2 linked regions of the Saccharomyces cerevisiae S288C genome follow. The protein of the gene in region 2 binds, or shares a complex with, the protein of the main gene of each other region. Each region holds a gene or a part of one and is shown on either strand. Other genes may lie near its edges. A codon is read from its position in the direction of its gene.

Region 1 (3,392 bases), 540 kb from region 2:
CTTCAGCATCATATCTGAATACATCTTCAAACCTGTCTCTCAATATACTAACAATCGTATCTATTTTCAGGTAGTCATGTACTGTGGTATCCAAGGTTCTCCACGCCAATATTCTAATATTTTTGTAAATCTTCGCGTTTTCGCTCTCTGAAAGTCCAATTTTAAAATCATATTTATCTTTTTCCACTTGATACGCAGATATATTGTCTTTGATAGTAGATTCAAAATCGTTCATTATATCATCCCAAACCTTTTTGGATGGATGTGATAGTAAATGAATCACATGATCCTTTAATTCGGGAACCAGATTTTTTTTAATACGACCGATTTTTGCTTTCAATTCAGCATCACGTAGTTGCTTGATTCTTTCTTCAATATCGTCGGAAAATTTGCAGGTAATCTCTTCGTTTGATATTAGTAGCCCTAACTTTTTGAAGGTCTCCATTGATTCGTTAAATTCTTTCTCAATCTTACTCTTACCTGCCGCCACACTTTCTACAAAAGAGGTAGTAGCTTTGTCTCTAGAAGACACCTCCAATTTTAAATCGTCCCATAACTTTTCCATTAATGATTCCAAGAACTCATTAATTGTACCTGAAATATGTGAATTCAGCTTTGTATTTAAAGCTTCTCGTTTCTCCATATAAACGTTTCTTGCATAGCGCGATGCTTGTTCATCATATTTTGTCAGACATTCTTCTTTTAGCTTCACTAGCTGAGATGTTAAAGATCCCAAGTTACCCTTTAAAGGAGCAATCGATTCATCATATTTTGAAATGAACTCTTCTAGAGCTTCATTAGATATTTCTTCAGTTTTAAATCTAGCAACCAGAATTTGCTGAGTTGGAAGATCTAAATCCTTGTTACGTTCAATTTGATCCCAACAATTTTCTGCGTACATAGTCCAACCATCTAATGGCAACCTATGGTGATATTGAGGTTTGAAATAATAGTTTTCCGTACCTTTCATCACAAACGAATCACCTAATTTCTTGACATCCTGGGTAAATTTGTCTTCTTGCAACAACTTATGAGCTAGCCCGACAAACTTTAAATCGAAATAATCATACAGGCTAGAACCCTCACAACCAGCAGGTTTACTTAACTCTGTCCATATTTTTTCCAATTCTCTCGTAACGGAATCACTCAAACTCGAGAGTGGAGTCACACCTACATGATCTCTAATTACAAAAAGTAACAGCACCTTGTGGTCATTATCATTCTTGCCAAATAGGGAAAGGTTGACCTCAAAAACTGTTTTTAATAAAGCCATATTATTACCTTGATATAGCCCAATTTGCTGCTCCCACATATTAACTATAAGAACTTCAGATACTGCAATGGCAAATAAAGCGGCTTTTCTCTCAAAATCTTGGTCTTCACCTCTTTCTGAACCATCGGAGCCCTCAACATCTAGCACAAAAATATCTGGACGATCATTATCGATTTCAATAGTTGTATTAACCTGTTTAGTGTGAGCCAACCAAATGCCTTTAGTAGTCTGCTGCCTTTTCACCTGAGCATCCATGGTATCAAAGTTGGTGTTAAACAAGACGTTAAGTAAAGTCGATTTACCACTCGATTGAGAACCGAAAACTGAGATGACATGGTAATCTAGACCAACATCACGATTTCCAATACATTGTTGAAAATATTGTAATGCACTTTGATGAAATTCCTTCTCTTCATCTATCAACTGAATAGCAGGTCTATCAGCCATGACTAAAGTATGTCAACCGTCGAGTGAGTTAGTAGCCCGTTTGTTGAAATAAGTCAATAATTATTTACCATCAAAATACACCTTTCAGTATTTTGTTCGTTTTGTCGCTCTTCGTTAAGGTAACAAACAATGGGAAAAAAAGTGAAAGGAAAGTCAAAAAAATGAAATAATAACATGTGCGGTAAAACAACCAAGTAAACATCATAAAGGGACATAAATAATAATAACAAGCTATGGTTCCTGCTGAATCTAATGCTGTACAAGCGAAACTCGCTAAAACCTTACAAAGATTCGAAAATAAGATCAAAGCTGGAGATTATTACGAAGCGCATCAAACGTTGAGAACTATTGCTAATAGATATGTTAGAAGTAAATCATACGAGCATGCCATAGAACTAATTAGTCAAGGGGCCCTTTCATTTTTAAAGGCGAAGCAGGGCGGTTCAGGCACGGATTTGATCTTCTATCTTTTAGAAGTTTATGATTTAGCGGAAGTTAAAGTTGATGACATCTCAGTTGCTAGATTGGTTAGATTAATAGCCGAATTGGATCCTAGCGAGCCCAATTTAAAGGACGTTATTACTGGTATGAACAATTGGTCTATCAAATTTAGTGAATACAAATTTGGAGATCCTTACTTGCACAACACCATTGGTAGCAAACTATTAGAGGGAGATTTCGTTTATGAAGCTGAGAGATATTTTATGTTAGGTACACATGATTCAATGATCAAATATGTCGATTTACTATGGGACTGGTTATGCCAAGTTGATGATATCGAAGATAGCACGGTGGCTGAGTTCTTCAGCAGATTGGTTTTCAACTATTTATTCATCTCTAACATATCATTTGCACATGAATCAAAAGACATTTTTTTGGAAAGATTTATTGAGAAATTTCACCCCAAGTACGAGAAAATTGATAAAAATGGTTATGAAATAGTTTTTTTTGAAGATTATTCCGACCTAAATTTTTTGCAATTGTTGCTAATTACCTGTCAGACTAAGGATAAGAGCTATTTCTTGAATTTAAAGAACCATTATTTAGATTTTTCTCAAGCTTACAAAAGTGAGTTAGAATTTTTGGGCCAGGAATATTTCAATATTGTTGCTCCTAAACAAACGAATTTCCTACAAGACATGATGTCGGGATTCCTGGGCGGATCGAAGTGAAAAGAGCATATTTGCGAAGGAATAGATAAATATGTTTGCGGTGGCTTGACGACCATGACGTATATACATATATATGTATGTGCTAGCTATTTGTCGTCTTTAATGATAGCAGACCTATTAAGGGCCTCCAACAATTCAGGCCTCTTGGCGTCTATCAAGTTTTGTTTAGCTTCTGTATAAGAGTATAGCTTTCTATGTCTTTTGTGACATTCCGGAAATTTATCAAGGAGATTTTCAATCTCTAATTCATAAAAATGAAATTCGGTTCTTGGCGGGTGCTTTGCTACTTCTGAATCTTTTCGAGAGTTCTCGAATTGCTTAATGTCTTTGTTCCAGTCCTTAGGGGGTCTCATGTCTTCAACTGTACCCAAATTGGCGACAATTTTACCTATGCAACCAGCTTCCTCCCAAGTTTCTCGTTGGGCAGTCGTCTCGTAATTAGGCTCGTCTTTCTCAACGCCACCTTTGGGGACAATCCATCTTTTCTTGTGTGCAGAAGA
Region 2 (4,926 bases):
GCATCCGTGAGAAAACTACTAACGTTTGAATTTTTGTCAATGGCATGCAGCCCTGAGCAGCTCAAAGTATCCTTAAAGTGGCATTGAAATTTAGCTTTTTTTTATTTAGGAGAAACAATATATATATATATGTATATACGTATGTATGATTCATATTTTAATCGCATTTTTATTTCATCTAAAACAATTACTCTTTTTGATTATTTATAGAAAAAAAACAACAATGATACGTTTGCTTCGCGTTATGTCAATAGAAAATGTAAAAGGAAAAAGAATGTGTTGCTATTCGTTAGGCGGATTTACGGATGGAAGACATATCTATGAACTGAGCTTACAAACGCTTTTAGCGGGGACAGTTAATCATTTTACGGATGATTTTATAAGAATAAACTATTTTTGAAAAGTTAGGATAGTATTTTGTACATTTGGCACCGAAGTAATTCAAAATCGAGGAAGACTCGCACACTTTTACAATCACAGAAGGCAAAACCCGGCATGACAGGATGATAATGTCATCAACTATGTCGACAGAAGCCGCCTTGGTACCGAACGAAAGTGTTTTTGACACAGTTTCGTCATTCAACGAAGACGATGCCAATTATAGCGTTCTTGATTTATACGATGACGACGATGAAGGGGATGATAGTTCTACAGTAGAACGAAAAGAAATATTGACAACACGTGAGCTTGAAAAAGCAAAGGCGTTTACCAGCTTAATCATGGCAGATCCTGAGAATTTTGATAGATATGGATTTAGCAAGAAAGGATATTTCATTAGTCAGGAAGAATACGACAAATGGTGGACAGAATATAATAGATACACCGAAAGAAGAAAAAAAAAGTGGGAGAACTTTCTTCTTAAGAATAAGATTGAGCTCCACAATGATAATCCTCTAGTATATCCTGCAAGGACAGATGAATTGTCAAAATTTGTTAGAAAAGGTATACCAGCAGAATGGAGAGGGAATGCCTGGTGGTATTTTGCTGGTGGACAACGACAATTAGACGCAAATGTTGGCGTTTATGATAGACTGAAAAGTGACTGTCGCGAGGGTGCCGTATCTGGTAAAGATATGGAAGCTATAGAACGGGATCTTTATCGAACGTTTCCCGATAATATACATTTCCATAAGGAGTCCTTCCAAAATGGAGAGCCGGCGATCATCCGATCATTGCGTCGAGTATTAATGGCCTTTTCTGTTTATGACAAGACTATTGGATACTGCCAATCGATGAATTTTCTCGTTGGATTGCTATTATTGTTCATGGAAGAAGAGAAAGCATTTTGGATGCTGGTTATTATTACCGGTAAGTATTTACCTGGCGTGTATGAATCAGACTTAGAGGGTGCGAACGTGGATCAAGGGGTGTTGGTGTTATGTATCAAGGAATATTTACCCGAGATATGGTCACACATTGAGTCATCGTATATGAATGGCAATGGCAGCACTGACCAGATATCAGGGCCAGCATCGGGGGAAGAATATCTCTGCAGGCTGCCTACGCTGACGCTGTGTACGGCAAGTTGGTTTATGAGCTGTTTTGTGGGCGTGGTGCCCATCGAAACGACCCTGAGAATATGGGACTGTTTATTCTATGAAGAGTCTCATTTTTTATTTAAAGTGGCTTTGGGGATACTGAAATTGAGCGAAAGCGAGTTTTTGGAGAGTAAAAGCCAGAAACTGTTTAGACAGTACTCTTCGTACACCTTCGGTGGTAGTAATGACTCTGATTCAACTTTCAAAAGATTAAAGAACAAGATTAAGACGCAGGAAGAGGCAGATATGGAGATTTTGCAAGTGATTCAAAATTTCCCAAAAAGATTGCTCAATCCGAATGATATCTTTGAGAAAGTCCTGATGAAGAAGAAGGTTGCGTTGAATGGTATTACCCAGGAAAAGATTGATCGCGGTAGAGAGTATGTGGCGATGGCGAGAAATAGACAAAGGGCGAGTAGCCGCCCAAAGGAAAGAAGAAAATAGTAAGCGCAACCGTGATAAAAAGCGCAACTGTGTAAAATAACAAGTATGTACGTACTAACTATACTAATCTTATTTGGCCAGAGACCAGCCTTTTTGTAGACGCTCCATGACTTGCCTAACCGCAGCCTGATCGTTCTCGAAATTGTTCTTCAGAAGAGCCTCGATATCATCCCAGGGCACAGTGAGTTCCTGTGGAGGAGCAGGAGCAGGGGAGTTAGTGGATTTCTCGGCTTCGGGTTCCTTAGATATAGTCGGATTCGGCTTAATCATGACTGTGATTGTGGAATTGGCAGGCGTGACCTTCAAATCCGATAAGAACAGGTTATCGTGGAGGACTTTGCCCTTCAAAAGCAGTTTTATCTCGCTTATGTGGGAGGCCTTTTCCTCGCTGATCAAGTGCTGTTTTATTTGTAAGATAGTATCTGATGGGCTGAAATCATGCTCGATGGAGAACTTGGGAGCTTGAATTTTCTTTAAGGTTAAGTGGACGGCGGCGTTGTCTTGACCTTGCTGATCTTGGTGCAGTTTTAACTTCTTGGCACGATTCTGCTTATATTTATACTTCAAAGTAGGCAACGGGACACCCAAATTGGTAACATCCTTCAGAGGTTTAGTATAGCTTTTTGGTAGCTTCGGTTCAGTTAAAGTGGCTAAGGTCAAGAATTTACTAACGAACTCGTGTTCTGGACCGCTGGCGGATGTGCTCATGATTAATTTTGTATAAAGTTATTATTCTTCGCTAGTTTATCTCTGTATCGGTCTGTTCTAACCCTTTTCTCCAACTATGTTCTCCTGTGCATGTTTTCTTCTTTTCGTTTTTCCTTTGTTTTTTTTGGTCGTAGTTGTCGCAAGCTCGGCCTCCGGCCTGATTTTAAAACTATTCCTAATTCAAGATTCGGTAAAAAAGATATATAATAGCTAAGGGGAGGAGAGGAATAAGAGGAAAAAGTTACATTAGAGGACAATACTCAATCTAACCCTTACTAGATGTGCGATAGCCATCAAAAGGAAGAAGATAACGCAAATACGAGCGAAAGGGCGTTATTTTTTAATTACCATGAGTTTTCGTATTCATTCTACGAAGACCTCGGTTCCGAAGACGCTAAACCCACAGAGCACGACGAAGACCACAAATTGTGTATTACACATTTCCCGAATGTGTATGCTGCTCGGGGCTCTGCCGAGTTCCAGGTGACCCGGGTGGTACGAGTGCCCCGGCGGTTCGATGAGTCTCGCAGCAGCCTTGAAACGCCACAATTTAGTACACAGCTTCCCGGTAGCGAGCCGGCGGCAATCGTGGGCGACGATGGCACTAGCTTTGTGCGGTGCGGGCGTTACGACATTGGGGATCACGTGTTTGGCTGCTCCTCCGTCTCGCCTCTGTCAGAATATCTTAGTGCGGCAGAGCTCGCGGAGGTTGTGCACCGGGTAAACGGATTCTTGCTGCGTGAAGAAGGTGAGGTGTTCGGGTGGCGTAACTTAAGTGGCCTGTTGCTCGATATGCTTACGGGCGGTCTGTGGAGCTGGGTTTTGGGGCCCCTTCTTTCTAGACCTGTGTTTCAGGAGTCTCTCGCGTTAGAGCAGTACGTGGCGCAGCTAAACTCGCCGGGAGGTCTGCTTCACGAGCGCGGTGTGCGCCTAGTATTGCCCCGACGGTCCGGGTGCCTATCCCTAGATTTCGTCGTGCCCCGACCCAAATAGTTAAACGTGTGGTTTATGGGTGCACCAGGGCTTTATCGTGTTTTATATCGATGGCGATTTGTGCCTCCAGTGTATTTTTGTATATCCAATTAAGGTTTCTTACCTAATTTTATTTTTATCATCTTTAGTTAATGCTGGTTTGCTCTGTTTCTGCTGCTTTCTGTGCGGTTCTCCTCTTCTCTTGTTTCTTCGTGTTGTCCCCCATCGCCGATGGGCTTATATGGCGTATATATATAGAGCGAGTTTTTACGTCGAAGATCATCTCAGTTTGCTTGATAGCCTTTCTACTTTATTACTTTCGTTTTTAACCTCATTATACTTTAGTTTTCTTTGATCGGTTTTTTTCTCTGTATACTTAAAAGTTCAAATCAAAGAAACATACAAAACTACGTTTATATCAATTAATAATGTCTGAAATTCAAAACAAAGCTGAAACTGCCGCCCAAGATGTCCAACAAAAGTTGGAAGAAACCAAAGAATCTTTGCAAAACAAGGGCCAAGAAGTAAAGGAACAAGCTGAAGCTTCTATCGACAACCTAAAAAATGAAGCTACTCCAGAAGCTGAACAGGTGAAGAAGGAAGAACAAAACATTGCTGATGGTGTCGAACAAAAGAAGACCGAAGCTGCCAACAAAGTTGAAGAAACTAAGAAGCAAGCTTCCGCCGCCGTCAGTGAGAAGAAGGAAACCAAGAAGGAAGGCGGTTTCTTGAAGAAATTGAACCGTAAAATTGCTTCCATTTTCAACTAATCACACTTGAATGTGCTGCACTTTACTAGAAGTTTCTTTTTCTTTTTTTAAAAATAAAAAAAGAGGAGAAAAATGCTGTTTATTCTGACCTTTTACATAAATTTTTCTTAATTGTATCTATCTAATAACTAATCAATATAATAATAATAATACTAATAATAATAATAATAATAATAATAATAGTAGTAGTAGTAGTAGTAGTAATAATGATGATGATGATGATGATGGATGATCAAAAGCCACAAAAAAGAATGCTCCGAGAATAACCTCGGCGGTTATTTCACGTCCCGGAGGAAAAAAAGTTTGATAAGAAAGTAAAAATATGAGCGGTACGAGAATCGAACCCGTGTCCCCACCTTGGAAGGGTGGGATGATAACCACTACACTAACCGCCCGGGTTAATTGTTATTAGTTGGTGAAACTGATCTCAATCACTATAACATTATGGTCTCTTAATAGCAAAGGCCAACCAACTGACTTCTTGCAAACTGATG

The links. Proteins that work in one complex are often made in the same cells at the same time.
Region 1: the proteins of MDY2 (region 2) and GET4 are in contact, whole or in part, in a crystal structure (PDB 3LKU), measured with the Saccharomyces cerevisiae proteins. Residues at the interface, in NP_014530.1 of Saccharomyces cerevisiae: Thr3 (codon at 2,684), Ser6 (codon at 2,675), Glu9 (codon at 2,666), His10 (codon at 2,663), Phe12 (codon at 2,657), Val13 (codon at 2,654), Ser14 (codon at 2,651), Phe16 (codon at 2,645), Leu17 (codon at 2,642), Thr18 (codon at 2,639), Leu19 (codon at 2,636), Ala20 (codon at 2,633), Thr21 (codon at 2,630), Pro25 (codon at 2,618), Lys26 (codon at 2,615), Leu27 (codon at 2,612), Pro28 (codon at 2,609), Lys29 (codon at 2,606), Ser30 (codon at 2,603), Tyr31 (codon at 2,600), Thr32 (codon at 2,597), Lys33 (codon at 2,594), Leu35 (codon at 2,588), Lys36 (codon at 2,585), Val38 (codon at 2,579), Thr39 (codon at 2,576), Asn40 (codon at 2,573), Leu41 (codon at 2,570), Gly42 (codon at 2,567), Val43 (codon at 2,564); in NP_014807.3 of Saccharomyces cerevisiae: Glu128 (codon at 2,335), Tyr129 (codon at 2,338), Lys130 (codon at 2,341), Phe131 (codon at 2,344), Pro134 (codon at 2,353), Leu145 (codon at 2,386), Asp148 (codon at 2,395), Val150 (codon at 2,401), Tyr151 (codon at 2,404), Arg155 (codon at 2,416), Met158 (codon at 2,425), Leu159 (codon at 2,428), Gly160 (codon at 2,431), Trp175 (codon at 2,476), Gln178 (codon at 2,485), Val179 (codon at 2,488), Thr186 (codon at 2,509), Glu189 (codon at 2,518), Phe190 (codon at 2,521), Arg193 (codon at 2,530), Phe196 (codon at 2,539), Asn197 (codon at 2,542), Phe200 (codon at 2,551), Ile201 (codon at 2,554), Ser202 (codon at 2,557), Asn203 (codon at 2,560), Ile204 (codon at 2,563), Ser205 (codon at 2,566), His208 (codon at 2,575), Glu227 (codon at 2,632).

Annotation. Positions count from the first base shown.
Region 1 is NC_001147.6:642,894-646,285, reverse strand, and holds GET4 (protein GET4), read left to right. Parts: upstream 1-1,953; coding exon 1,954-2,892; downstream 2,893-3,392. Other genes in the region: dynamin-like GTPase SEY1, read right to left, coding at 1-1,720; polyphosphatase DDP1, read right to left, coding at 2,979-3,392. UniProt on the Saccharomyces cerevisiae protein: May play a role in insertion of tail-anchored proteins into the endoplasmic reticulum membrane.
Region 2 is NC_001147.6:106,207-111,132, forward strand, and holds MDY2 (Mdy2p), read right to left. Parts: upstream 2,691-4,926; coding exon 2,052-2,690; downstream 1-2,051. Other genes in the region: putative serine/threonine protein kinase SKM1, read left to right, coding at 1-87; Rab GTPase-activating protein MSB4, read left to right, coding at 504-1,982; SHR5 (Shr5p), read left to right, coding at 2,970-3,683; ZEO1 (Zeo1p), read left to right, coding at 4,091-4,432. UniProt on the Saccharomyces cerevisiae protein: Required for efficient mating. Involved in the production of alpha-factor, the KAR9 and TUB1 location to the shmoo tip and nuclear migration into pheromone-induced shmoos.